4 linked regions of the Canis lupus familiaris genome follow. The protein of the gene in region 3 interacts with the protein of the main gene of each other region in a biochemical or structural test. Links are inferred from orthologs where the notes say so. Each region holds a gene or a part of one and is shown on either strand. Other genes may lie near its edges. The genes, in order: RIPK2, RIPK1, BIRC3 and UBE2V1.

Region 1 (7,254 bases), on a different chromosome or scaffold from region 3:
AATGTCCCTTTAAAAGTCAAAGTTCATCACTGACTCATGGAAAAGTAGCAGTTACTTAATCTACCCATCTTCTTCTTTAAATGAATTGCAAAATATCTTTAAAAATATTAATGAAGTTATGGGCAGCCCAGGTGGCTCAGCGGTTTAGCGGCTGCCTTCAGCTCAGGACCTGATCCTGGAGACTCTGGATCTAGTCCCACGTCAGGCTCCCTGCATGGAGCCTGCTTCTCCCTCTGCCTGGGTCTCTGCCTCTCTCTCTTTCTGTCTCTCTCATGAAAAAATAAATAAAATCTTTAAAAAAATAAATAAATAAAAATACTTAATGAAATTAAATGGAAATTGACACCTTGCTATCATTTTCTGAAGTAAGTTTTCTCACTGGAATGTTGACCAGAAACGTTATCTGAAAGAAAAATATTTACTCCTGATTAAGGTCAACTGATACTTTTCTGCTTTAAAAAGAATACATTGTTTGATTATCTGCCAAGTGTCCATTAGTGTACCTTAGATACAAATGAACCAGTGATAGACTTCTTTGAAATGAAAATATTTATATATGCCATATTTGGTTTCTCTGCTCTTCTGTTGGTCCTAAGTGGAAACCAGAATACTTCAGAGTTATTCTTCATAACTTCTTACTGATAATAACTTTATAGTGTTGTAGATGTGGATAGTGTATGTAAATAAAAATAGCTATTCTAATAGGGTGCTAGGATTGTGGATGATTTTTATGAGTAGTGTGTTTTAATTTCCTCTAATCTTTAAAATCATCTTTTTATTTAAAAAGAAAGCCTTTAGCTTCAAAATGCATGTTAAGATCTTGTGTAGGTAGAATGGGTAAGTTCTTATTCTCTGTCGTCATGGCTGAAGGATAAATTTATCAAGACCTTAAGAAATCTTAGAACTCTTATTCCTTCCCTCACATTATTCATTTTTTTCCTTCTGTTTGAAGATCCAAATTTAATGAGTCATGCCTTTCATAATAATAATATTCATAATGATATTTGTAATAAAGGGGAAAAGTGGAGTTCTACATGAAAGCCAAACTAAATCAGCTCATAGAGAGAGAATTCTGATTAAGGTTTTTAGGTCAGGTTTGAAAACAAAGATGAAAATCTTGGGTGAAGGAGCACATAAGGAAGCAAGCTCAGGAATACAGTTTCCACAACGCTGTGTTCAAGCCGACATTTAGCCCAGGAATTTGCAAATTATGGTTCAGGTATAAGGTGAGACCACATCTCAGATTTTTTTTTTTAGCATTTTTTCACTTGCGGCATAAAAATAAACTCTACTTATCATAGTAATGCATATTATTCTAGCAACTGTAGTGCTGATTTTGATTTTAGAGGGTAGGTGGGAAGAACAGATTAAATTGAGTAAGAGCAACCTATATACAAAACATTAATAATGTTAACACATGAGGATCACTTATTATGTGATACTACTATTCTGAGTGCTTTGCTTAGAACAAGTTGTTTAATTTTCTCACTACAACCCTGCAGTGTAGATGGTGTTATCATCCCCAGTTTGCAGATGGATAACCTGAAGCACAGAAAAATTTAAAAACTTGCTCAAGTTGCGCACAGTTAATTAAGCGGTAGAATTGGAATATAAATGTAAATAATCTAGGTTCTAGAACTCATGTTCTTAGCCACATGGTATATTGCTTTTCAGAATCAATCCAGCTCTTCATGTATGTATTGGCACCGTGTTTTCTCTTGGTCTTTCCTATTTTTTTCCTTAGACTTCCCTTTTATTTTAATAATATATGAAAAAATTCATATAGTCTATCTCTTCTCTTTGGCGTGGGGCCATAATATTTTTTTATTATCAAAATCATCTAAACACTAAGCAAATTTTCTTCTACTAAAACTAGCAGAAAAATATAAGGGCCAAATAATTGAAACACAAACGGTATGCCGGATAGAGTTCATTTCCCTCTGTTTACCCTAACTTGTGCAACGTGAAGGTCTAAGTAATTTAAATTTAATGTTTTTAAGGATTTACTATACCCTTTTGTCTTTTAAACACTGTTTCTGTTCTCATATTCTGTCTTCGATTAAAAAAAAAAAAAAACAAGGAACCTATTTAAAAGGTTAGAGAGTTATAAGATGTTGTGTGACATCTGCACAAAATTTATAAGTGAAGCAAAACTATAGAGGATATATCAAAAGTATAAAATGTCACCAATAATTCCTTAAGCAATCCTTGCCATAGACATAAATATGCTTTATATGATTCTTTTAGGGGCAAACATAAATCATGTAATAATGACCTCTGCTATATTAGAATTTTACTTACCTCAGAATTTAAGGTTACTATTTTCAGGACATCGTAAATAAGAACATATAAACCTGAGTTGCAAACAATGCCCAGGGGCACTCATATTAGATACCAGTAGTTTAGCAGCTCTGTGAAGTGTAGCAGCATATGCCGCAAAACTACTTGTCTTAAAAAGTAGTATTTGGTATATATGCTCATTCAGAATTTAAGACAAAAAATATTGCTGTTTTTTTAAAACTCAGCCTCCATTTTAAAATTTGTGATATTATGCTGAACTTCAGGTCAGTATGTATTACTTCTAGAGTTACTTGGGCTCAGTACTCAAGAATTTAATTTATTAAGAAACTGATACAATATGTAGAAATAAAACATTAATATAGAACTTTTTCTCTGCTCTCATACCTGAATACAATGAATACAAACAGAGTCAGTTCTTGGTTTTTTTAAAGAAAAAAAAAAGGTTTAAATTCAATTATTTACTCTTTTCCCTTACAGATCGCAGATTTTGGTTTATCAAAATGGCGTACGATGTCCCTCTCACAATCACGAACTAGTAAATCTTCACCAGAAGGAGGGACAATTATCTATATGCCACCTGAGAACTATGAACCTGGACAAAAATCAAGGGCCAGTGTCAAGCATGATATATATAGGTATAATATATTACTTTGGCTTGTCTAAAAACAATATTAATCAGAATTTTGAAGCTGAATTTTAAAGTGTGATTTTTAGTCTATGTCTCATAAGTGTGATAAAAATAGAGGCCACAGTGGTTAATATTTTTCAAATTAAATTTTTTTCAGTGATGTAAAAGTAGCTGAAAGGAAGGCATCTTTAAAGTGTATCTTGTCCTGTCAATTTATAATATAGTACTAAAAGGTTTTTTTCTTATTTGACATGGAGGGAGGAGGGAGGGAAACTGTGGTTAACAGTTAACACTACCAAGGAGACAGTACTTAGACCAGAAAAAAAAAAGTCAATAGACTAGAGCTACATGAGGCCATCTTTTTTTTATTGCTTTTTATTTTGTGTGAATAATAGAATTGTGTAGAGGTCATTAAAGAATCATCCCATTATCCTTGTCTAGAACTTCAAATTTTTATTACAGTAATTTGCTAATTTTTCAAATTGGATTAATTCCCTTTTAAAACAAAACTGTATGTAAATATTCATCATCTTGGTTGTCTATGGTGATTCTTTATATAGCATTTCACTACCTTATCACTTGCAAAAATGATATCTCCACAGTCAACTTTTAAAATCAGTGCTGTTTTAGTTTATTATGCATCGTCAGTTTATAATGTCTTGTATGTAATATTTTTATCTTAAACAGCTATGCAGTGATCACATGGGAAGTCTTATCCAGAAAACAGCCTTTTGAAGGTAAGTGTACTTTCATATCCTCATTCTAGATGACTTCATGTTGGTAGGCCGCATCCAGTACTATATAAATAAAGCCTATCTTATTTCAAATTTGCCTACCATTCACTTTTTGGAAAACACGCTATGAAAACAATTTATCAATTCTGAATCCACTGTATATTGGAAAATTATACTGAATTAAGGGTCAGAAATACGTAGAGTCTAGTACTTGTTCTGACGGTACTTACCTCTGTGATCAAGCCACTAAATCTCTTGGGTCTTCATTGTTTTATTTGCAAAATGAAAATTTTGAACTTTTATTTTTAAGATTCATTCAGGCTCTAAAACTCTTAATTAGAAAATTTAGTTAGTGCTTCTTCCATAACAGCCAGCAAACATTGAAGAAGAATTTTTAAGTTTTCTGATAACATTGTCCATTTCTTTATTTTGAGGATTATATGGGTCAGCTTGCTGTGTAACAACCTTAGAATCTTAGTAGCTTACAAAATAAATATATATTTCTCATTCACAGTAGGTGTGAGTGGCCACTCTTGGCTATGCGAGGTTCCACTCATTTCTACTAAGGTCTTTTCTATTCATAGCCCATTGACCAAATCAGAAATATGACCAAGCTTAAAATTAATTAGGTGAGGTGAGGCTATAAATATATATATATATATATATAGAGAGAGAGAGAGAGAGAGAGATAACTCTCTCTTAAAATCTTAGGGGCAATGCATTACTCCTAAGATTTTAAGTTTCCCTCATTTTCATTTGGTTGACTTTATTTTTTTTTTATTTTTTATTTTTTTTGTTTTGTTTTTTTTTTTTGTTTTTTTTTTGTTTTTTTTTTTCATTTGGTTGACTTTAGAATATATTTAAGTAATATATTGAATCATAATATATTTCTAATGAATGAAATATATTTGTTTTGACAGAAGTCACCAATCCTTTGCAGATCATGTATAGTGTATCACAAGGACATCGACCAAACACTAATGAAGAAAGTTTGCCACTTGATATACCTCATCGAGCACTTATGATCTCTCTAATAGAAAGTGGATGGGCACAAAATCCAGATGAAAGACCATCTTTCTTAAGTGAGTATACAGTTTTATTCAGGACCTTTTGAATTAAAAAAAAATAGTGAATATACTATGAATAAGATATTTCTTGAAAAATTACACAAGTTAGATGGCAAGCTTAAAGTTCCTTTTTTTAAAAATTCAGTTGCTGTTTTTATTTTATGAGATGAGATTGGAGAGATAAGGAGAGCCAGGATAGCCATCATAAAAAGATTAGAAATTTATTCCAACTACAATGGATCATTGTTAAAGTGTGTTTTATATGGAAGTGACATGACCTAATTTAAGTTTTGGAGAGATCACTCTTGTTGGTATGTGGAAAATTGACTTAAGGGCAGGAGTGGAAGCAGAGACCAGGTAAGAGACTTTCACAATTTACTAACTAAGGTGGTAATCCTAGATAGAAAAATTAGATAGAATTAAGATTTATTTCAGAGGTAAAACGGATCATCATCTAAATGTAAACCTAGGTGAAAGTTTTTATGACCTTATGTTAAGCAAAGAGCTCTTATGTATGACATCAGAAATAAGATCCATGAAAAAAATAGAATTGGGCATTAAAAAAAAACTGAAAATTTTTGTACTTCAAAAGATGATATTAAGAAAAAGTGAAAAGATGAGACGCCTGGGTGGCTCAGGGTGTGATTCCGGGGTCCTGGGATCGAGTCCCACATCAGGATCCACGCAGAGAGCCTCCTTTTCCCTCTGCCTATGTCTCTGCCTCTCTCTGCGTCTCTCGTGAATAAACAAATAAAATCTTTAAAAAAGAAAAAAGTGAAAAGATAAGCCACAGACTGGGAATCCTCTTTCTAACTGAAAAAGCAGTGAAATATATTTTTCATTCAAAATCTGTGTCCAGCGCACATCAGTACTATGTTTAAAAACTGAAAAGTTGCTTGTAAATGGATTCAAGTTTTATTTATTTCCCAGAGCTACGTGGGAGGGTTTATATCTCCTTTGCCCCAGTGCCACTTCCAGATACTCCTTTTCTTTTCCATTCTCTAAAAATCCTAGCTCCTTTGCAAAACCATACCGTTAGGCAGGACCTCTCTACAGACTTCCTGGTTTTTCCCTGTTGTCCTTTAAAGACTTTTGGCTGCCTGATTCACCCTGCATTGATCAGCACTGCTGAATACTTACAGGAGCCTTCTGCACGTGGCAGAGCTCTCTCTCTGTTCCTCTCCTCTCTCTCTGTCTGCTTTGGTCTACCCAGACTCTCAGCCCCATCTCTTTAATCAAGTTTCCACTCAAGTGAGAAGTGAAGCCTCGCCTCACTTCCCTCTTAAGCTGCAGCTAGAAACTCTCTCAGCACAGAAAGCTTGTGAAATCATAAGGCTCACCTGATTTGTGTCCTGTCTCTCAGTGATCGCTGTCCTTTGTTGCCTGGTATCTAGGATCTTGAAACCCATTGTGTCATGTTGTTTTGGTTTTTTTCTAGCTTTTTTAATTGTTTTAGGCAGAGTGGCAGATAAAACCCTGTTGCTCCATCTTGGCCAGAAGTGGGAGTTATTTATTGGTTTTCTCTTTAAAGTAATGGTCAGGGCAGTGGCTCAGTGGGTTAAGTGTTATAAGCATCTGCCTTCGGCTCAGGTCACGATCCTGGGGTCCTGGAATCAGGTCATGATCCCCGGGTCCTGGGATCAAGCCCAGCATGTCGGGCTCCCTGCTCAGTGAGGAGTCTGCTTCTCCTCCTTCCCCTCCTCTTCCTCATGCATGTTCTCTTTCTCTCAAATAAACTCTTTAAAATCTACTGATTGCCAAAACTGAACACTAAACACTACTTAAAAATTCTGTAATGCTTGGGCAGCCCCGGTGACTCAGCGGTTTAGCGCTGCCTTCAGCCCAGGGCGTGATCCTGGAGACCCGGGATCGGGTCCCACGTCGGGTTCCCAGCATGGAGCCTGCTTCTCCCTCTGCCTGTGTCTCTGCCCCTCTCTCTCTCTCTGTGCCTCTCATGAATACATAAATAAAATCTTAAAAAAAAAATTCTGTAATGCTTCTCAAACACATCTACTACTCCATTCTCACAGATCAGCTGTTCTAAAGGTGTGGTACAAGGACCCCTGGGGTTGTTGGTTTCTGAGACTTTGAGAAGAAGTCACAAAATCAGAACTGTTTTCAAAATAATAAATATTGGGACGCCTGGGTGGCTAGCGGTTGAGCGTCTGCCTTCGGCTCAGGGTGTGATCCTGGGGTCCTGGGATCGAGTTCTGTCCCCATTGGGCTCCCCTCGAGGAGCCTGCTTCTCCCTCTGTCTGTGCCTCTTCTCTCTCTCTCTGCATCTCTCATGAATAAAGAAATAAAATCTTTAAAAATAATAATAATAAATACCAAGATTATGTTTTTAAATTCTCTCTCATGAGTACATAGTGGATTTTTCCAGAGGCTAGAGGTATGATGGTTTTATTGCTCCAACAAATAATAGAATGTGTTCTCATATACTCTGATGTTTTAAATTTTTCTCAGTTTTAATTTGTAACATAGTAAATATCAATAGATATGACCCACATATACCAAAGCTATT
Region 2 (7,880 bases), on a different chromosome or scaffold from region 3:
CACCGCCCCGTGCCCCCCATGGGCCGGTCGCAGCTGCCTTTGGTCAGCTCCCTGCATCCTCGGGGCCGGGGACAGCCCATCTCCCCGGGCCCGTTGGCTGGAAGGCCTCTGCCCCCGGGTCGTGGAAGGACACACCGCAGGTCGCCGTGCGCTCCTGTGATGCTTGCTCTCCGATGCCGCTGGAGCCTAAGTGTTAATGCATTAGCGGCCAGAAGGCTGGGTAAGGAAGGCTTGAAATAAGGACATAGAAACCGATTCTGAAAACCCCCTCCCCTTAGTAAAGCACCTTTTAGCGTCTGTCTAGCTATTAGGGGCGAGGCTTTGTGCTGGTTGCTCCGGAGCCCACAGCAAGTATGACACAGACCCGCCCGCGGCACAGATAAGGAGGAAAACCATGTGGCCTGGTGGCGTTTCCACAGGCATCCTCCCAGCCGTGGGGACACCGAGAACAGGTACGTCCCCCCAGCCATGGGGACACCGAGGACAGGTACGTCCCCCCAGCCGTAGGGACACCGAGGACAGGTACGTCCCCCCAGCCGTGGGGACATGGAGGACAGGTACATCCCCCCAGCCGTGGGGATACCGAGGACAGGTACGTCCCCCAGCCGTGGGGACACCAAGGACAGGTATATCCCCCCAGCCATGGGGACACCGAGGACAGGTACGTCCCCCAGCCGTGGGGACACCGAGGACAGGTATATCCCCCCAGCCATGGGGACACCGAGGACAGGTACATCCCCCCCAGCCGTGGGGACACCGAGGACAGGTACATCCCCCCCAGCCGTGGGGACACCGAGGACAGGTACATCCCCCCAGCTTGGGGACACCGAGGACAGGTACGTCCCCCCAGCCGTGGGGACACTGAGGACAGGTACATCCCCCCAGTCATGGGGACACCGAGGACAGGTACATCCCCCAACCGTGGGGACACCGAGGACAGGTACTCACTTCAGTGTGGGGTGGATAAGGAGGGATTCCAGAAGGACGGTTCCTGAGCCAAAGCCTGAAGGACAGGCGCAGTTAGGGAGCACGTGTTCCTGGCGGGAGGACGGCGAAGGACAGAGAATACAGCAATTTTGGAACACCGTCAAGAACTGGACTTGGCCCGAGCATGGAGGGCGTGTGGGCCTGGTGGGATTGGCTGTCTGCAGGGCAGATACCCCCCTTTCCCCACCTTCTCCCCAGCCCTACAACTGCCCAAGGTTCTGTCCCTTCTTCGATTCCTCGAAGCCCTGGGCAGCTCTCACAGGCACCGGTGGGAAGGCTAAGAGTGTGGCTTATGCACGTTGTGTTGTGGTTGGATGTGATTGCTCTTCTCCCCAAAACCAGGTTAGACCAGCTGCTGCTTGTAGTAGGCGTTGAGGCATCCTGCCAGACGCAGAGATAAGTGGACTAGTTTGGGCTCCAGAAGAATCCAGGAGGATGTCAGGGAAAAGAGCAGAAAGGAAAATGAGAAGGGGATTTTCTTTGCTTACTCCGAATGTTTTCCCAAGTCCAAAGGTGTATACCAAGGAAGGAGGGAAAATCTCCTGCTGTTTTTTGGGTGGTGGCGATCAGGCTGCCAAATCAGCCACATTATGGGTTTTAAATATGGTTTAGAGGGTTGACTTGGACTCTAACTTCCATCATTTAAATTTTTGTCCAGTTTACCAACAACCAACATATAAGTAAATTTTTAGAGAACAGCCCATTTGTAGGGACTGTATGCATGCATGCATGCACACACACACACACGCACACATACAGTTTACGTTTTTCGGTGTTAAGTAAAATTAATGTTTTGGAATTCTCTGTAATAGCATTAATATTTATATAACTAGAATACAATTGTAAGTAAGTGACTTCTGAATTTACAAAGACTTGCTGAAGTATCTGATATGAAATTATCAAGCAGCTATTCACTTCAGCATTGTTTTGTTTTTTGTTTCCTAGTGAACGTGGTATCAGGTCTCGTTTATGTTTTTTTTTTTTTTTCTTTTTAAGATTTAAATTCAGTTTCCCAACATATAACACTCAGTGCTTATCCCATCAAGTGCCCCCCTCAGTGCCCGTCACCCATTCACCCCCACCCCCTGCTCACCTCCCCTTCCACTACCCCCTGTTTGTTTCCCAGAGTTAGGAGTCTCTCATGGTCTGTCTCCCTCTTTTAATTTTTCCCACTCAGTTCCCCTCCTTTCCCCTATAATCCCTTTCACTATTTTTTTCTGTTCCCCAAATGAATGAGACCATAGAATGTTTGTCCTTCTCCAATTGACTTATCACTCAGCATAATCCCCTCCAGTTCCATCCATGTTGAAGGAAATGGTGGGTATTTGTCGTTTCTAATGGCTGAGAAATATTCCATTGTGTACATAGACCACAGCTTCTCTATCCATCATCTTTCGATGAACACCGAGGCTCCTTCCACAGTTTGGCTATCGCGGACTTTGCTGCTATAAACATTGGGGTGCAGGTGTCTTGACATTTCACTGCATCTCTATCTTTGGGGTAAATCCCCAGCAGTGCCACTGCACTTCAGCCTTGTTTTAACATCATGTTACCTCATAGGTTCATCTTAAATGTTTGTAATCAGTGTAATCAGCACATTTCTTTCATATTGTCTTTTCTCGTATGATTTCATACACACGTTTCTGTGACATTGTTCGTCTATTTAATATATAGTAGCATATACTAATGGACTGTAAAAAATAATTGGTTTTTTGTTTATTTCTTTATGCCTTCATTCAACAACAATTCTAGGCACCATGCTAGGTAGTAAGTAAGGATGTATATTATAATCATCGCCATCATCATCGTGTTCTGCGCTCAAAGAGCTTAACTTTATAGCATTTTAACATATTTCCATATTAGCGTGGAAGTTTTAGTTTTACAGGACAGAACACAATAGTAATACCCTTAGCACATGGGATGAAATCTTTCTTTAAAAGGAGGCTTCTTTTAAAATGATAGCTGTGCTGCAAAGCATAGTAGAAGGAATCCTGGTGACTACAGATGGTCCCCAACTTATGGTTCGACTTACGACTTTTTCACTTTACAATGGTCAAAAGCCATGGGCATTCAGTGGAAACCATTCTTTGAATTTTGAATTTGGGTCTCTTCCTGGGCTAATGATATGCATTATAGTCCTCTCTCATGATACTGGGGCAGCAGCCGCTGAGCGGAACCACAGCTCCCGGCCAGCTGTGTGATCACAAGGTAGACAGCCAACATGCTCGCGACCATTCTGTTACACAGCCATTCTGTTTTTCACTTGCTGTTCACTATCAGTCAGTTACTTGAGATATTCAACATTTTATTATAAAATAGGCTTTGTGTTAGATGATTTTGCCCAACTAAGGCTAATGTAAGCGCTCTAAGCAGATTAAAGGTAGGTTGGGCTAAGCTATGGCGTTTGGTAGGTTAGGTGTATTAAACACATTTTCAACTCATAATACTGTCAACTTGTGATGTGTTTATTAGGACATAACACAACTCCATTGTATGTCGAGGAGGATCTGGATATCCACAGGTTCAGACCCCACAACCTTGAATAAAACAGTTGCTTTGGCCTGTTTGACTTACCTTTCCATGTCATAGACTTAATGTCCCTTGTTTTAGGTCAGTATCCCCCTTTCTGTAAAAGGAAGGATAATTATGGAGACCATTGAAGGGATGTGCTACCTCCATGGAGAAGGCGTAATACACAAGGACCTAAAGCCTGAAAACATCCTTGTCGATGATGACTTTCACATTAAGGTAAATCAGAATCTGAAAGTTTCTAGAAGATTGGGGTGGTTTTGTTTTTTTCTTAAAGATTTTGTTTATTTGTGAAAGAGAGAGAGACAGAGACAAAGATAGCAACAGAGATAGCAGCAAAGAGCAGATTCCCGCCCTGAGCAGGGAGCCTGATGCAGGGTTTAACCTGAGATGGTCCTGGGATCATAACCTGAGCCAAAAGGCAGATGCTTAACCGACTAAGCTACTCAGGTGCCCCAGGGGGGTTTTAGTTTTAATTCTCTGCTATAAACCCATTTTTGTATGTGATAAACACTAAAGGAAGACCTCGCTCAGCTTAGAACTGGTGAACGGTGGTGCCAAGGATTCACAAGAAAGATACGGACTCGATGGAGTTCATATTATTTATTTTTTTATTAATGTTATCTACGTTTTTTATCAGTTTTTTTTTTAACTATAATTTATTCCATTGTAGTAAAGGGAACAAGGGGAGGGGATTTTCCTTTTGTTCACCCAAGAGCAGATTTAAGTAGGTGGAACATCACATCTAATTGGTTTTGGCAGCAGGAATCCAAGCACGAGAATCTGAAAGGGGAAGCAGCAATGGTGGGGAGCGCAGGAGCTGCTGACTCAGAGTCCCTCCACTATGAGATTCTGCTTCTAATGCTTCCTTCTAGTCTTGGACAGATTCTTATTCCTATAACTTTAAAAGGAAGTTTCCCTCTTTAACATTAAATCACTTATTTCTTATGTATCTCTTAGGTTAAAATCGGGGGATTTTAGATCACCACATGATCTACCCAAATGCTTGGATTCCTAGAGGCAAAAGTGAAACTGTTCCCTCTGATTTCTTCTTAACTGTATTGTTCTATCCTTCCCTGTTCTATCATTGCCCTGCCACCTCTCTCTTTGTTCTGTGTCTGACCTTTGTATTTTTCTTTTGGTTTCCTTGTTGGTTTTTCTCCTTCTTCCTATCCCATCTTCTCTCAGGTTCAGGCTACCAACTCAAAACAAGTAGCACAGCAGTCTGTATCCTCAGGACTTTGGAGTTCTTAGAATCTCGCATCCATGGGCTTCGGGACACCATTTGGGAAAATTGAAGGTGCGGTATCTAGTCCCCATGTGCTATACACATCTGCTGAGAAGACCCCTTTTCTTCCTAGCCCCAGAAATAGTTGAAAAAAAAGTATGCAGAGTAAATGAGGAATTAGAATAAACACGTTCTGCTGTAGTTCATGTCAGAAATGACTTCTGCTTTTCTTTTCCCTCCCCTTCCCCTAGCAAATTACATGGTTTTATTGCATAAGAATTCAAATACCAGAATTTCACATGGACACATCTTAGGGACATTTTCCAGATAGCTGAGGAAACAAAGTTTCTATGAACTTGTTCAGAAGTAGCTGTTTTAAATCTATCTAGTGGAAATTTCTGGAAATTCACTATACCTTGCATCTATTAGTTAAGCCCAACATTTAAAGACAAGTCTAATTTGCCTCTGGCTCTCATAGAACAATCACGTTGATTTGATCTCTTGCAGATAGCTGATCTTGGCGTTGCTTCCTTTAAGACGTGGAGTAAACTGACTAAAGAGGAAATTAATGAGCAGAGGAAATTGAATAGTGTCTCTAAGAAAAATGGTGGAACCCTCTGCTATATGGCCCCAGAGCATCTGAATGACATCAACGCCAAGCCCTCGGAGAAGTCAGATGTGTACAGCTTTGGCATAGTACTTTGGGCGATATTTGCTAATAAGGAGCCATATGAAAGTAAGACATTTATAGAGGAGTGGGATCTGGCTATTAATCAAAACTGCTGAGTGAAATATTGGCCTTCAATGAAGGCAGTTAGGATTTCCAACTGTTTGTTGTTTTAAGGTCTTTCTTACCCACGAGACCACAAGCTACACGAGGGCTAGGACCATATCTGATTTATTCAGCACTATTTCCCCAGTATTCATCTCACAGTGCCTGGAACACAGTAGGTGTGCAGTACCATTATGTTGAATGCATGAGTAATCTCGGTTTAGGAATCAGGGATCACAGGACACATAGGAGCCATGATGATGTGTCTGTATTTGGGAGGTGCTGTAAAATTCCAGGATTCTTCCTGGACAGGAAAACTTACTTCCTTCTGCTTATGAGGCATATACTTCATACTTTGATTCATTATTCACTTGCTCTTTCACTTGAGAATTTTCTTTTTAGTACTTACTAGGGGTACTTTAATCAGAATTAAGAATAAAAAGATGAGAACAGATACATGGAGATACAAGATACAAGAATAAAAAGATGAGAACAGGGCAGCCCGGGTGGCTCAGCGGTTTAGCACCACCTTTGGCCCAGGGCCTGATCCTGGAGACCTGGGATCGAGTCCCACATGGGGCTCCTTGCGTGGAGCCTGCTTCTCCCTCTGCCTGTGTCTCTCTCTCTCTCTTTCTCTCTCTCTGTGTGTCTCGAATGAATGAATAAATAAATAAAATATTTTTTTTTTTTAAAAAAAAGATGAGAACAGATACATGTTCATGGAGGAGAATGGATACAAAAGTATATATATACATATATATATATACACACATCTTCAGTTTGTTAAATGTCTAAATTAATGGACATTTTCCATTTCTATTTTCTTGGGTGATTATCAGCTCCCCCAGTTTAATGATCGATCACCCATTGCCAGGGCCTCTCAAATCTCTTATCTCTATCCCTGGCCTGGATATCCATTTATCTGTTAGATCCATTACACATGCCAGAGGATCCCCAAAGCAACATCCCCCCAAATAAATTCATCTTCTACATGTGCTCCTTGTAGTCCACTCAGCTTTGCTCATGTTCAGAAAATGGCATCAGCATCCACTTACCAGTTGCCCAACCAGAAACTGTAGGCATTCCGGTCTCAGCTTTGTCCATTCAAAACCTATGAATTCAAGGTATATATATGATTCAAGATCCATCTTGAATCCCCCCACTTCTGTCCCCACCAGACTCTCTAGTTCAGACCATCCGTATTTCTACTGAGGGCTGCTCATTTCCCCATTCACCCTGCAGCCAGGCTGGTCATCCTAATAGACAAGTATGACCATCTGATTCATCTATTTATAATCTTTCCAAGGCTCCCTGGGCCTCCAGTATAGAGTTCAAATTCTTCAGCATGGAATACAAGGCCCTCTCTGGCTTTTCCATCTTTCTCTAGCCTTATTCCTTACCTCTCTTTCTTTAGTCAATATGCCCAGTTATTGAGAACTACGCATAATTTCTAGGATACATCACGATTTTGGAGACTTCCAAGCTATTCATATCCTGCCCCCCTATCCTGGAATCCTGTTCTCTGAGTCCTCCTTCCTGATTTATCGATAAATCCTTCTAGTTTTTTTTTTTGATGCAGCAAAGCCTTCTCTGACCTTCTCATCATGGTTGTGTTAGCAGAAACCTTTGTACTTAATTTTTGAATAACCATTACCAATCTGTATTTTAAGTCCCTCTCAATAAACTTAGTTCTTTACGGGTAAAAGCTGTTCCATGTTCGCCTTTGTATTAAAGTCTGGAGTCTGCCATTGTTTTTATTTGTATATTCTATTCTACCAGGAGGCCACTTTGTTGTGAATTCTTTCTTTCTTCTGCAGAGGTTAAAATGTCGTTTGATCATCTGGGCAGTAGAATATGTCAGTGCCTTGTCAGAGGGTCCTTCTGCCCCTAACAGATGAGGCGCCCGTCCTAAAAGCATACCCTAGGTAGAGGAGATCAGCAGGATTGTCCAAGTTCTGCTGCCTTCCTGCCTAAGACACGCAGGACCTGAGGAAAAAATCAACGTAAATTCTTTGCCTTATAGATGCTATCTGTGAACAGCAGCTGATACTGTGCATTAAATCTGGGAACAGGCCAGATGTGGAGGACATCATTGAGTACTGCCCAGAGGAGATTATCAGCATCATGAAGCAATGCTGGGAGGCAAAACCCGAAATTCGGCCAACATTTGCTGGTAAGAGCATCTTCTGTGACTGTGTACATTGCCAGTGAGGTGACTTTCCTGGTAAGATGTTGTCAGGAAGTTGAAGTGTTCAGAAACCTGAGTTCTACTTGTGATTTCAAATAGACTTTCTAGATTTCACACATTTTGTTCGATGAAAAGATACCATCCCTCTTAAAAATGTGAAGTTATATGAGGCCCTC
Region 3 (7,254 bases):
ATAATTGTCTCATAGATTACTGAGAAGATATAGCCCTTTTCTTGCCTTCACGAATATAGATTCTATGAAGTATAGTTTATGGTGTAGAGAATAACTGTTGAATATAAACAAAATACTGCTTTCAAGATAAAAAATCATTTTGCCTGTAAGCAAGTCAGTCTGCAATAAATTGAATAAAATAGATTTCTTGACTCATGTACATTGTAATGGACAGGCTGAGACTTATATTTTAATTTACAATTTTTTTCCTGTAGTTGTTATCTACCTCAGACAACACAGAGGATGAAAATACTGAGTCACCAAGTAAGTATAATGACAATAATTACTGCATTTAAATAGAACCATTGTTACTCTGGAGATGGAAAGCTGATAATGGTCATATTATTGTACCATATGACACTCTATACTTTATAATGCACTCTCACATTCATTAAGTTTGTATTTCTCACACTTTAGTGCTCATGATAATTGCCTAAGGAATCAGATTTCTGGTCTCCACTTTAAAGCTATCATATTGAGCCATGGCATCTAAGGGTGGGATTTGAGTATGTCTTTTTAACAGACCACATGCATCCAGCCTCACACTCATTTTCAGACCTTGTGGGAACACAGGTAGTCTGACATTAGCTCGCTCACATATTATTTCTATAAAATGAAGATAGTAGAAAATATTATTCTTATTCCTCAAGAGGGACCCTGAAGCTCAGATAGGTTAAATGACCTGTCTTTTTAGGCTAAACCTAAAAGGTGATTGAGCCAATATTTGAACAGGCTGTTCTACTCTATTATCTAGTGTTTAATTCAATTCAATAAATATTTATTGTGTGCCTGCTATTCTGAGGAAAGTACACAGAACAGAGTAAATATAACTCCTGCTCTTGTGAGCCAACAGTCCAGGGGATTCAGACAAGTACACAGGTAGGAGAGAGGGGTATGGAAAAGTAAAGCATGGTGTGCTGTGGGAATGCATGAAGGACCGTGCACCCGGACTTTGGAACATGAGAAAAGGCTTTCCAGAGGAGGTATTCGTCTTAGCACAGAAAACCTGGGAAGGGTAGGGGTTAGCCAGATGACAGAGGAATATTTGTCAAAATATTTGTCAAAAGAACATTCTAGACAGAGAGAACAGCCTATGAAAGTCTTAAGTGACAAAAAAGAACAGGCACATTTGAAGAACTGAACAAAATTCTGTATGACCAGAGGTGGGATTTGTGAACAGGCAAGCGAAGGAAGCAGAGTTCTTTGAATGATCAATGCTGCACAGGCAGAGTCTGACCCAAGAGCCATCAGTTTGTGACTTCTGGGCTCGAGCATAGCATGTGAAGGAGAAAGTGGTAGGAGATGAGGCTGAAGAGGTGAGTGTGCAGATCTTGTGCCAGATCTTGTGCCAGATCGTGTGCGGTCTTATGAGCCACAGTCAAACGTTCGTGAGGACAATGGAACTGTTGCTGAGATTTCAGAAGGAGTGCTACACAGTTGGATTTGTGTTTGTGAAAAGCCACTCTGGTGGCATTGCTGAGAAGGAATGAGACAGGAGAGGGCATGGTAGGAGGCCCCGCAGTGATGGCATGAGTGAGGACAGTGGCCTCTCTGAAAAATATGTGACACGTGCTTGATTTAGAAAGCTCATTTGTTCATTCATCATAGGGAGAAAAGAATGCTGAGTGGATGGTGATATCCAACCTTCTGTTCCTTTCTCCCACTCATAGTTATGCCTGGTAATGCATATTTTCTATCATAATACGCTATTCCATATTCTTATTTAGTGACTGAACATGTACATTGTTATTTTAAATTTAACAAAGTTAGTATAAAACAATGCCTATATGTTCTGGGCTTTATGTTTTTGAAATGTAATAACTTTCAATTCAAAAGATATACAGACTCTCCCAACATGTGGAAAATCCCTTATTCCATGTAGTTGTCCATTTTGGACCTGGAGAATACCATTCAGAGGATGCAGTCATGATGAACACCCCGGTGGTGATGGCCGCCTTGGAGATGGGCTTCAGTAGGAGCCTGGTGAGGCAGACTGTGCAGAGTAAGATCCTGAGCACTGGAGAGAATTACAGAACGGTTAATGAGATCGTGTCTGACCTACTCCACGTGGAAGATGAAATAAGGGAGGAGGAGAAAGAAAGAGCAGCTGAGAACAGAGAATCAGGTACATATCCGCATTGATTGGTGTCTGTCTCTGTGTGGATATGATGCCACCATGTGTAAGTCACTAAAAGTATACTCCTTGTCAGGGCAATCAAGTTTTATGTTTAGTGTTTTCAATTTGAATTCTGGAATTTTTTTTTTTACATTACACTGTATTTGAATTGCTCATTAGTCAGTGGAAAATGTATGTATTGAGTGAAAGCATTTTCTTAATTTATATTTTTACTCTAAGTTGTTGACTGCATATGTAATCAAGGCTTGTTTGTGATCCCAGGCTCACTCTCCTTTGCTGCAAATCAGGGTGGGATCAAGGACAATTATTTTAATATTAGCATCACAGAGTGTCTCAGCCCAATGACATTATTATTTTTTTAAAGATTTTTATTTATTTATTCATGAGAGATGGAGAGAGAGGCAGAGACATAGACAGAGGGAGAAGCTGGCTTCCTGCGAGGATCCCAGTGTGGGACTCGATCCCAGGACCTGGGATCACGACCTGAGCCGAAGGGAGATGCTCAACCACTGAGCTACCCAGGTGCTCCCCCAATGACATTATTATAGCATTAATAACACATGTTAATGTACAAATTATGATTATGTTTCCTGCCAGCCAATATAAGAACTGAGGGAGTCCTTCTGTTCTTGAGGGGAGGGTGAGGACACTGTTGCACATTCTCTCAAGACAAGGTAGCCATGTCCCTCCATGCTAGCCTTGTCTGCCATTATATGGCCTTTGCTCTGTGGCCCTTCACAAAGACTCTCTTCCTCCAGGCATATCCATCCCCATCTGGTCACTCTGAATGCTGTCGTTACTCTGGCCTAGACAAACAGAAATGCTCCTCTCTCCTTTGCTGCTCTTTGACAAGCATGAACCAGATCCATAAGTCTTTTCAATATAGTTTAAAGCAAACTGCAACTTTTCAGAAGCTCCTACTAGAGATTTGGGAATAACAGCAGAGTGTTTACATCATGGACGACAGTCGACAACTCTAGCTGTTTGGGTCTCTCTTAGTCCCCTTAAAGGCATCCTCGAGAATCTCTCTGCCTAGCATCTGTTCTGGTTCATCGCTATATAGCTCTGACCATTTTACACAAATGACTAGGCTAGTCCCAAGCATGTTTTCTCTTAGGAGAGCTCACTCCCCCAAATACCCCCAAAGCCCAGAACGGGCAGAGAGTTTGCCCCTTAACTTTGTCCAGTGCCATCTGGGATCTATTTCTGCCAAAGATGATTGGCAGATCATCAACTCCAGGTTTGGATAAGCCTACTCCTTAGGTGGATTTGTCTTCTGGCCAATCTGGACAAACAGATCCTGCCTTTACCAAAGTGTGACTTGTTCAATTCTGCAAACCACCAACACGAACAGCAACGGAGCCCAAGCTCATCTTTGTGTATCCTTGCAGTGGTCTTCTCCATCTTAGTTGTTGGTCATCATCCCTGGAAGAAGAAAATACCCACCTCTACAATTGTTTGAAGACCCTATGAAGTCTAAAGCCATCCAGCTATAAAACATTTGTATTTCTTTCTTTTTTATAAAAAGATTTTATTTATTTGAGAGAGAGAGAACATGAGTGGTGGGGAGGGACAGAGGGAGAAGCAGACTCCCTGCTCAGCAGGGAGCTTGACTTGGGACTGGATCCCAGGACTTTGAGATCATGACCTGAATCAAAGACAGACACTTAACCAACTGAGCCACCCAGGCACCTCAAAACACTTGTATTTCTTTCAAAGAAAATCAACGGTCTGCAATCAACAATACAATAATTTGCATCATCAAAAAGATCTTGTAGCATCTGCACTCTCTGTTATGTCTACACTGTCCAGCACACAGTCTGCACATAGTCTGTGCTCAAGAAATATTGCTTTAATGAATAAACGAAAATATTTCATTGAGATTACTGATGACTTTATAGTTTTCCCAAGAACAGCGGGTAAATAATTTCTTGACAGGTGTGTAAATAAAGAGGCAGTTTAGGATTTCATTTCCAGAGCAAAAGAATAATATGCTTCAAAGGTATATTCAAGTCTTTACCTCTTATAAGCCAGAATAGTCTATGACTTTGAAATGAGTCTTTTTTGCTCAACCACTAGCAATACGACTTTAGAAATCTTAAGGATTTCAGATAACTTATTACAATAGTCTAAGTAAAATGTAATTACCATCCAACTATTGATTTCGACTCAGGTCATGATCTCAGGGTCCTGGTATTGAGCCCCACATTGGACTTTGTGTTCAGAGGGGAATCTGCTTCTTCCTCTGCCCCTCCCCCGACCTCCCTTTTCTTGCTCTCTCTCTCTCTCTCTAATAAATAAATAAATCTTTTTAAAAAAGAAATCTTGGATGGAAAAATGAATATACATCAACATCAAGTGTAAATTATATGTTAATTTTCTGGTATATCAGTATTTCTCTATTAGATGATTTCACCAAATGTATTAGGTTCTAATTCTTAACCCCTCTGGCCATGACCTCTCTATTCCTTCTGCTCCTTACATTACTATGGCTCATTTGATCGACAGCTATTTATGGAGCAGGTACTTTATGTAGATACCACCTAGGCCCTTTTCCTTTTCCCATTTACTGCCAGAGCTCTAGTTATCTTCAAAATGTGTATCTTTGACCTTGACTATTTTACTAAGCGGTATTTTTTTTTTATTTTTTATTGAATGGTTCTGTTTTTATCTCCTATTACTTGACAGAGTCAGTGTTTCGAAAATCTAACATCATCTTCCCCCAGATAATTCTTTTTTTAGACAGCCACACTTCTGTCATTAATTATTTCATAGAAAGAGCCTTAAGGATCATGGTAAAATTGTGTAATAATGAATAAACTTAGATTCATAAGTTAAAGTCCAAGGAGATAATAAAATTGCAGAGTTTCAAAATATAAAATATTTTACCAACAAATACAAAATCTGGATCTCAGCGACAAATACAATGATCCTATGGACAGAAAGTTATCACCTGACAAGTAGGATTTAATCTTTAACATGCTGTTGGTGCCTTTCCCCACTTATTATAAAAAATTTGGGTAATGGCAATATCCAGTCTAATATGAGAAATAGTTAAAATGTCATCTTAAAATGGGAATTTTGAAGAAATTTTTACAGGTGGATGATAATTGAAGAAATACACTTTGTGTCCTTTTTAATCTCTTGATTTTATCTTTCCGCAAGTTGACTAGATTGAATTGGAATTTTAGTTTGATCAGACTCTGATTTTGACTTGGTTAAAGGTTGAGCAGTTGTTCAGAATGTCTGAGGACACAGCCTGTGACACCAGACTGCCTCCGTTTGTGTGTCCTTGCGCAGTTCCCTTGCCTCACAAGCCTGTTTCCTCCTCTGCTAAGTGGGGGCCCTGGAACCCCCCTCTGTGGCTGCTGGGAGCATGGAATGAAGGGACACATGACAGACAGGGTGCTCATCCTGGAACCCCTGGACCTAGCATCCCCTGCGGTGCCCAATGGATCATGAATTTTGAGGGTTTTCCATTCAGTTATGTGTATATGTGGAAGGAAGCCTTTGAGCAGAGTTGAAACGTGTTCATGCTTGTTTTCTTTTTTATAAAGATGATGTATCATTAATCCGGAAGAACAAAATGGTGCTTTTCCAACATTTGACTTACGTGCTCCCAATCCTGGACAGTCTCCTAATGGCCGGGGTGCTTAATGAGCAAGAACACAGTTCTATTAAACAGAAGGCACGAACATCTTTACAAGCAAGAGAGCTGATCGATACCGTGTTAGTAAAGGGAAGTTCTGCAGTCACCATATTTAAAAACTCTCTGCAAGAAATTGACCCCATGTTATACAAGCGTTTCTTTGGTGAGTGTTTTGCAATTAGTTTGGGGAACTTTCTAGGTCAATTGAAAATATGCTCTTAATGTGACAAGCGAGGGTGGTGCATGGAAACTGAATCACGACACTGTACACCTGACACTGATATTACACTGTATGCTAAGTCACTGGAACTTAAAATTCAATTCAATTCAACTAAAAAATATGCTCTTAATAATTCTTTATTATGAAAATAATAAATACTGAAAATAATTCGATCTAAAAGATGAAAGAGTTCTGTTGCATTGACATGATGATGGTCATTTATAGCATTTGGCTAGAGTCTAAACTATTAGTTTAAAAAATATATTTTGTGACTCAATATTAGCCTTACTTGTTATTAGTAATGTTTTTTGTTTTACTCCCTTAGTACAACAGGATAGAAAGTATATTCCCACGGAAGACATCTCAGGTAAAATAGCATTGATAATTTAAACCAGTACAAATTATTGGTTTTATTTTCTTGGCTTTTCATTGGAGAAGCAGCAGTAAGTTGCCTCTCCTTAACCATTCTTTTCTCTTGTTAGATTTGCCAGTGGAAGAGCAATTGAGGAGACTACAAGAAGAAAGAACGTGTAAAGTGTGCATGGACAAAGAAGTGTCCATCGTGTTCATTCCTTGTGGTCACCTGGTGGTGTGCAGAGACTGTGCCCCGTCCCTAAGAAAATGTCCTATTTGTAGAGGCACAGTCAGGGGCACAGTTCGTACATTTCTTTCCTGAAAAGACCCAAGACTTTGTCTAATTTAGAAAGAGTGGATTAAATGTATTATAATTTTGACCTCTGGAATGGTTGGTTTCCTTAAGATTTTTAAATCTATTTTGCAACTCAGAACTGTTTTATATAAATATATAGCTAAAACATATGAGCCATATGTATGTTAGAATGATAGGCTTTTGTTCACGTGGGAAAAGACAGAGCACTACAAGCATGATACTGAATCAGAATTTCAACACTACTGAAATCGTAAGTGAAGTTTAAATTTTTGAATTAAGCTTTCAGAATTTTAAATATTTTGGAGTCCTATGAAGAAACAGGAGCACAGATTGTTTGCCTTTCTTGATCAGTGTCCTATATGTAGTAGGTCTTGATATTTGTTGGATGACTTTTTAGGGACTTGGTGGTTTTGCAAAGAATTCTGTGAAGAACATTTTAATAAAGCCATCAAAATTACTCTTGGTCTTAAACTCCTTATTTCTGTATCAGTTTACTCCTTCCCAGGCTGCCTCCATGCTCCTTAAGACCTTGTGGGTGT
Region 4 (7,720 bases), on a different chromosome or scaffold from region 3:
TGAAAGCAAGGCCCTACTTTGTAAATGATATGAGGGGCTCCAAGTCCGGTGAGCAGAATATAAGGTATAAGAAAGAGCTTCCTTAAAAATGGACATCATACTCATTGGACAGCAGATTACCCAGAATGGGACAAACAGTGGCCAGGGCTGCTGTAAGTCCCTGCTACAGCTGTCAGATCCTTCTCATTAAAGCCCGTTCTCTCACCAAGATTAAACACTCCAAGACCCAGGAAGAGAACACGCCAAAAATGCATGCCTTTCCATTTCTTTCCTATGGTACTGGAGCAGGTTGGAGAGGGAGGTGGAGCCAAACCCCCTGGGCTCTAGTCTGAGTGCCATCACTCAGCCACCCTTTTCCCTCAGTAATGCTGTGGGGACAAAATTTTCTCTGGTTAGTTCATGCGGTTGTGGAGTGTTGGATGAGATGACATAACAGGTAAGTCAAATTACCTGGAAACTCCAAAGTGTTTTTTTTGTTTTTGTTTTATTTATTTATTTATTTATTTATTTATTTATTTATTTATTTATTATTTATTTATTTATGATAGTCACACACACACACACACACACACACACACAGAGAGAGAAGCACAGACATAGGCAGAGGGAGAAGCAGGCTCCATGCAGGGAGCCCAACGTGGGATTCGATCCCGGGTCTCCAGGATCGCGCCCTGGGCCAAAGGCAGGCGCCAAACCGCTGCGCCACCCAGGGATCCCTCCAAAGTGTTTTAGAGTGTTACATGTTTACTTCACCAAATGTACTGCTCTGTACTTCACTGGGGCCTTTTGGAATTAAACAGAGGATTCCTGACTTCATATTCTGTATTTCGTTTTTATCAAAGCACTGTAGCTACAATCCAGGTGAGAGACAAGGGGAGGGAGAAAGAGAATGTGGTAGAGTGAAAAGTATGGTTTGAAAGTTACCATGAAGGGGAAAATCATAACCATCAAAATTAACCTTGGGACACCCTGAACAGAGTAATAGGTTGTACTGGACCAACCATCACCGGAGCAGAGTGCTCCAGCTGAGCACTAAGTATCACAAGGCAGTTCTCTTGAACACAGGGCCCACGTTGTATAAAAGGCAGCTGGCTACAATCAGCACAAGATACTTACACAGTGAGACATACAGGAACAAGATCAACTTCACAGACTACAGGTTCTCATATCCCATCATCAGCTCTCTGGGAACACCCATGAATGGAATGGAAGACTACTTAACCTCCACTGCCCATATGGGTAAAGTTGCATACGCCGAGTGTGTAGAGGAGGCCACTCTAGTGAATGCAAATTTAAAATTAGGCCCAGCCAGGGCTTATTCTTCTGGCACTCAGGTTTCTGGTTAACAGTCAGGGAAGACTGTAGGATGCTGGGTGAAAGGAAGGGCCTGCCAACCAAGGGCTTGCGATTCTGCAATCCTGGCCAAGGCAGGAGGAAGTCACCTGTCACAGCACTGGCATCTTGAGGGATTCTCATAGGCTCCTCACAGTACCATGCTCTAGGATCTATGCAGAATTCATGCACTGCAGAACCACGGGAGGTGGCAAGGTGTTGCAGCAAAGTGTAGAAAGCACTGATCATAAAAAAAAAAAAAAAAAAAAAAAAAAAAAACCCTCCCCCCACCCAAAAAAAACAAAACCACCACCACCACCAAAAAACGAAGGCCAGGCCTTTACAGGAACTTGAACTCAAAGACTTCAGGGCTGTTTCCTGGCAACTAGGGGCATAGATTAATCAAGTGGCTTCTTCTAAACCTGACTAAGGAAGGCCTCAAGGTCCCTGAACAACCTGAAAGACTTCTCATGGTTAGAAAGCAGAGGCCTGAACATTCATTTTTATTTAACCCAATTATGGCCCTTCTGCTTCCACTCTCAGCACTCTGTACTCCTTCACTGCATAGAGGCACAGGTCAGATCCTGTCAATCCTCTCTTTTTCTTAAAGTGGGCTCCCTGCCCAATGTGGGGCTCAAACTCACAGCCCTGAGTTTGAATGTCACATGCTCTAACAACTGAGTCAGCCAGGCACCCTGTCATTAAGACTCATCCATTCAATGAGTATTTACCTAATGCTACTTCATATTGGCCACTTTGAGGGCTTCCCTTCACACTTAATAAAACCTAAAGCCATATCTGCCCAACTTATTTCCTTAACAAGCCTCTTGTGCACACTATGGCCTTTTACCTGTTCTTTCAACAGACCGGGCTTGGTCCTGCCACAAGACCTTTGCACTCACTGTCTCTACCTCTCTTGCCTATGATATACACTGCAGGGTTGGCTCCTTCCATCATTTACATCAGTTCAAATGCCATCGTCTCAGAGAAGCCTTCCCTGATACTACTTTTATCACTCTGTATCACATCACACAATTTCCTTCATAGCACTGCTATCTGAAATTGGCTTAATTATTTAGTCCTTGAATGGCTTTCCTCCTGACTAGAATGTAAGCTCCTCAAGGACAGGGGCTATGTCTATCTTGTCCACTATTCACAGTGGGACATAACAGGCCCTCAGTAAATGTGTGTTGAATAAACAAAGGACTTTTCGGAAGCCCACTATTTAGAGCACCTTAAAGCCTGTTCTATGCTATCTACACCATGCCAAGTGCTTTTGACACTAGACAGGAGTTGACGATGTTTTATCTGACTGCATTAGCATTTATGAAGCACTCATCAATTGGCAGGGCTTCAAGAAGTTAGAATTAAGTAGCTGTTAAACCAGATTGTAGGTAGCCAATCTCAAGTGACTGCAAACTGGGCTGAGCTGCAATATGACCATAATGCTGGCTGCCACAGTTACACTGTAGCCCCCACTTCACAGCAACCTGACAGGGGTGCTATTATGGTGAGAAGTTTCTCACAGCAGTCTGGCCTGACTCAGCCTCTCTCTTCTGTGGCAGTATCTTTAAAAAAAAAAAAAAAAAAAAAGAGTTGACTCAGCACTATTCCAGCTAAAAATCAAAATCTAGGAAAAGGATATGTGGTCTCCTCTATGCTTCATCGGGGACCCCACTGCTCTAAGTATAAAAGGCAGCTTGTGATAGGTCATTTCAGTCTGATCCCCTAGAGCCAATTCTCTCTATTGCTACAGTAACAGACAAGGATGGTTTCTTGGGGGTACTAGAGGAGCAACACCCTGGAAAGAGGGACTCCCTTCACCCTGTTTCCTTTAGGTCACCAAGCCTCTCTTAACAGTGCTGATGCTGTGGCCTTAACTAACCAGAGGATTTGAGTACCCAGGCTCGTGGCCCTGCTTGCTTCCCTCATCATCACCCTCTCTGTGAGGACCTCCTTGGCCAACATCCCTGGTACCTCAGAGTACAGCTCTCTCGCCATAGGGGGACATTCAGTCTTCCCCCAAATCCTGCACTTCCAAAATCTTTCTTGCCTCATCAACCCCTCTGGGGGACCTCCCCCAGCCAATCTTTACCCCTCCTCCTCGAGAAAGCCATCTGAGTCCATCCCCTGAGGTCCATTTGTAGAACGTTAACTCTGAAACAGACCCTTCAGGATTTGATCCTCCGGCCCATCCTAGGAGTGCAGAACAAGGAATCGAGTCTCAGAATAAATGCTGCCTCCCTCAAACCACAAGGCACTGGATGAACCTCCCTCTCTCAAAGTACAGCTCCCTTTATTTCCTCTTCTGCTTCATGGAGATGGGGGTTTGTCCAGCTTTCCTGCCCCAAAGTCATCCAGAGTCTTCGTTTGTCCCTCTCCCCATGCCCATCCACTAAATGGGGAACCTCTGAGCTGAACCCACGTATCTTTTACCAACATCCAAAGGAGTGCTAGGGAGTGACAATGGCCACAAAACAGACACTTCTAGAGGACGCTTCTCCCCCCCCCCCCCAAAAAAAAAGAAAGAAAGAAAAAAATCTCTGAAACAGGACTTTTTTCCTCACTCTCACCCACTGCATGGAGCTTCCTTCAGTTGATCCTCCTCAAGTAAAAGCCTGATGATGACGGGATCATATCCCTTTGGAACCTGAGAGATCGTTTTTCCCTTCTCACTTGTCCCGTTGGGATGCGCTTTGATACCCCTTCCCCCAGAAAAGCCACCTCAAGACGCCCCCTTCCCGACCAACACGGAGATTTCCTCAGCTGACCCCATCCCCCAAACTAACGCTGAAGCCGTCCCCTCAACCAATGCAGGATCCTCGGTCACCCCCCGAGACCCCGTTTTCTCCTCCCGTCCTCCCTAAGGGCTTTTCTCAAGTCCCTGCCACACGGACATCCCGGGGCTGCCCCGTCGCTCGGACCTCCAGCACCCAGTAAAGGACTCTCATCCGTTTCGGGGAGCCTTCTCATCCCCTAGGAGACCTCCTGGTCCCCGCCGAGCCGCCAGCCTCCGTCTCCTCAGGAATGCCTCGGGGCTCGCCCCTCGCTAGCTCCGGCCGCTCAGCGGTGCCTTGGGGCCGGTCCTTCCTCTCAGCCGGGCCCTCACGTCGCCCGGGGGAGCCTGTGGGCCCCGCCGCGCCGCCCACAGGCCCCTCAGGCCCCCGCCCGTGCTTCCGGCCACCGCCTGCTCCTCCTCCCCCCTCAGGCCGCCCGGCTCGCCACCGCGGAGCCAAGCGGACAGAGGTAACGCAGAGGCCCTGGTCCCGCCGCAGGGACCTTTGCGGGTCCTCGGTCCCCGGCCCAAGCCCGCGCCCCCTTGGCCAGCCGGGCCCGGCGCCCCAGCTCACCCGAGCCCGTGGTGGCTGCCATCTTGCGTCGCTGTCGCTCGAAGGCCGGCCCCTTCTTCACCCCCCGCCCGTCCCCGGGCCGTTCTGCGCAAGCGTGCGCGCCTGCGCAGACGCCGCTGCTGACGCCCGCTCCGCGGACCGCGCGACCCGTTGCCGGGAAGGTTTTTTTTTTTTTTTTTTTTTTCCCTGCCTTTTCAGAGGAAGGAAACATGATGTGCGTGCGGGAGGGCCCGGCAACCTGCATGTTCCTCCAGGCTCGGGTGCGAAGGAGATACTGAGGTGTTTGGTGAGAAAGGCAAGGGTGATCAGACTTGGGAGGACGCGATTGTGGAAGATACAGAAGAAAGCTAAAAAAGAAAAAAAGAAAAGAAAGCCTATTTTACTTCGTGCATTTCCTTGTCTAGTTGGATCCTCACAATATCTCTACCAGGTCGGGATTAATGTGAAAAATGAAACTGAGGGGCAGGTTCAGCGATTTATCTAAACTTAGCGGTTAGGTGGCTGAATCAGAATTTGAAACCCGGCCAGAGTCCTGGGCCAGAGAAGCTTTGTTTTGGGGCATTAAGGTGTCAAGGAAAGCATTCCACTCATTCATTCATTCATTCATTCATTCATCCATTTATTCATCCAAAGAAATACTTAACTAAGACCTACTATGTGCCAGGCGCTGTGCTAGGTCCTGGGAATGGATATACATCCCTGAAGTCTGTTCTTACAGGCTTACATTCTAGTCAGAGAGCTAGTTAACAAAGAAATAGGAAAAGATATAACTATGATAGGATAGAGATTGAACCTAGGAAGGGGCAGCAGGGGGTGGTCGGGGAGGGCCTCCTAAGGTGGTTACATTCAGCAGAGACTGATTAAGAGGTAGAGGGAACAGCATGTGCAAAGGTCCTATGGACACATATTTGCAAATGTATGTTAAATCCAAGAAGGGATTGATCTTTTATTATAAGCGGTCTAAGAAGTCCTGATGTGGATTTAGAAACAAGCTGAGAGAGGTGAAGGGACTGCCTCAAGGTCACACAGCTAAACACTGGCAGAAGAAGGACAAGGACTTCCAGTACAGAGGAGCAAGGAAACCGGAAGCCCTTATCCAGGACATCCCGTGCATTACCTTGTTTTGACAGTAGTGCCTCCTAAGCATTTCTCAGCTCCATCTATTTCATCCACTTAGGGTAGGCTGCCCTTGTCTTCCACCTGGGTGACCCCAGTAGCCTTTATTCTTGCCCCCATGATCCATTCTCTGTATGGCAGCCAAAATTTGCTCAAAATACCTTTCAGTTAAATCTTTCAGTGGCTCTCCATTTCCTTGTGATAAAATACAGATTCTACAAGTTGCATGAATTCTCATCCAACAAAGACAATCATCAGATGAAAAGGAGACCTAGTATTATCTGGCCAGAACAACAGAACTCTTCAGGGCAAACCACCGTGGATGGCTACCCTAACCAAAGGCCATGCGCCTAGGGTCCAGTGAGACCAGTGAGACCACTGAGACCAGTGAGACCACTGAGGTGTCTAGGACTTACACTCAAGCCTCATTTAAGGAGACTTTTAACCTTAGGTCTCAGCTCTGCACTTGCATGATCCTGCAAGTGAATACTTTCCTAAAATTTGCACCCTGGGTACCTCTCACCCTCATCCTTGGCACAGCCGGTACCTCTGAGACTTGCCTGTACCTCTCTGCAGTACATGTCCCCTCCCTACTCAGGGCTTTTGCCTGTGCTGTTCCCACTCTTCAGTTCTCAGATCCAGCATCACCCCCTCAGGGAAGCTTTCCCTGATTTCTCCAGGTCCAGTTCAGCTATAATTGACTCTTAAAGCCCCATGTGTGTCTCCTTCAAAGCACTGGCAATAGGGAATCGACTTGATAGTCTGTGTATCACGTGATTCAAATTTATCTTGAAAAATACAGAAAATATTTGCCCTGGACTTTGGGTTGTTATAAAGCCTCAAGTAGCAAGTGGGAAGCATTTGGTCTCCTAAAGTGAACTCACCTCTGAAGTGAAATTTTCTGGATTCCAGTGCTCCTTCACCTACTCTTTGCTGTGTGACTTCAGGCAAGAGATTTGAATCTCTCTTGGCATCAATCCCCTCCTTCTGAAAAGAGGAATGATGGTATCAACCTCATAGAGTTGCTGGAGAGATAAAATGCTTTGATAAAACCTTCTAGCACACAGGGAGGAGGAGACACTACAACAGCTGATATTTGCCAAGCCTTCATATCCAGTTTTTATTCATCACAACAGCTGGATGCAGCAAATTCTAGGGATAACCGCACGGTAAGGATGAGAAAGACTCAGAGCTAACAGGTGGAGGAGTGAGGATGGAAACACAAGCCAACTTATCCACGATGCTCCTAAACGTTTGCTCGCATAGATTCCTTGGTTCTCGTAGGGAATTTCTGGCAAGCAAAACTGACAGTAAAGCAAATTCCTGTGCAGAGGACCTCGCAGGAGAATAGGTTAAGCCTGACGCCCGGGGGCATGCTGGGTACTGTAGTTTCGCGGCGTCGCGGAGCCTGCCGGGAGTTGTGGTCCTCTCCGCCGAAGCTCCCTCGGAGAGGCTCCGCCCTCTGTCTGGGAAGTCAGAGCGGGTCCCCAGAGCCGGATTCCTCCGGTGCCTGCGCCGCATCTCTGCCTCGCGCTGGACCTGGTAGCTTCAGCTGATGCGGATAAGAGTCCTGTTTATTGGCTCGTTGGGAAGATTAAAATGGTTAATGGAACGAAGGAATTTAGAAAAGAGCGAGGGCTATATAAGTATTAGCTACTATTTTTCTTATTATTTAATCCTTAGTGACCCCCGCAAAGTAGCTTTTATCATCTCTATTTGTCAGATGAGGAAACTGAGGCTCGGAAGCGTTAGAATGCTTTCCCAGGATCACGCAACAAGGAAGGAGTAAAATCAGGTTTGGAATTCAGTTCTCTTACCCCCGGGGCACCTGTGGAGCCTGGGAGGTTGGAAGCAAAGCGTGGGTGGGTTTGCTTTTTTTTGTGCAAAATGCAGCCTGACTACCTGGAAAAGACTGAATTGGG

The links.
Region 1: the proteins of BIRC3 (region 3) and RIPK2 form a complex in vitro, tested with the Homo sapiens proteins (2 studies listed by BioGRID, with this or other methods). The link is inferred for Canis lupus familiaris from reciprocal best matches to the Homo sapiens genes BIRC3 and RIPK2.
Region 2: of the proteins of BIRC3 (region 3) and RIPK1, one has a biochemical effect on the other in vitro, tested with the Homo sapiens proteins (5 studies listed by BioGRID, with this or other methods). The link is inferred for Canis lupus familiaris from reciprocal best matches to the Homo sapiens genes BIRC3 and RIPK1.
Region 4: the proteins of BIRC3 (region 3) and UBE2V1 form a complex in vitro, tested with the Homo sapiens proteins (2 studies listed by BioGRID). The link is inferred for Canis lupus familiaris from reciprocal best matches to the Homo sapiens genes BIRC3 and UBE2V1.

The regions. Positions count from the first base shown.
Region 1 is NC_049250.1:35,937,741-35,944,994, forward strand, and holds part of RIPK2 (receptor-interacting serine/threonine-protein kinase 2), read left to right. Parts: intron 1-2,778; coding exon 2,779-2,936; intron 2,937-3,616; coding exon 3,617-3,666; intron 3,667-4,583; coding exon 4,584-4,745; intron 4,746-7,254.
Region 2 is NC_049256.1:4,664,949-4,672,828, forward strand, and holds the start of RIPK1 (receptor-interacting serine/threonine-protein kinase 1), read left to right. Parts: upstream 1-3,614; 5' UTR 3,615-3,735; intron 3,736-4,704; 5' UTR 4,705-4,816; intron 4,817-5,251; 5' UTR 5,252-5,368; coding exon 5,369-5,480; intron 5,481-7,539; coding exon 7,540-7,689; intron 7,690-7,880. UniProt on the Homo sapiens protein: Serine-threonine kinase which is a key regulator of TNF-mediated apoptosis, necroptosis and inflammatory pathways.
Region 3 is NC_049226.1:29,466,420-29,473,673, reverse strand, and holds the end of BIRC3 (baculoviral IAP repeat-containing protein 3), read left to right. Parts: intron 1-254; coding exon 255-303; intron 304-1,921; coding exon 1,922-2,164; intron 2,165-5,733; coding exon 5,734-5,988; intron 5,989-6,370; coding exon 6,371-6,412; intron 6,413-6,527; coding exon 6,528-6,721; 3' UTR 6,722-6,734; downstream 6,735-7,254. UniProt on the Homo sapiens protein: Multi-functional protein which regulates not only caspases and apoptosis, but also modulates inflammatory signaling and immunity, mitogenic kinase signaling and cell proliferation, as well as cell invasion and metastasis.
Region 4 is NC_049245.1:37,220,919-37,228,638, forward strand, and holds the start of UBE2V1 (ubiquitin-conjugating enzyme E2 variant 1), read right to left. Parts: upstream 4,721-7,720; 5' UTR 4,705-4,720; coding exon 4,683-4,704; intron 1-4,682. UniProt on the Homo sapiens protein: Has no ubiquitin ligase activity on its own. The UBE2V1-UBE2N heterodimer catalyzes the synthesis of non-canonical poly-ubiquitin chains that are linked through Lys-63.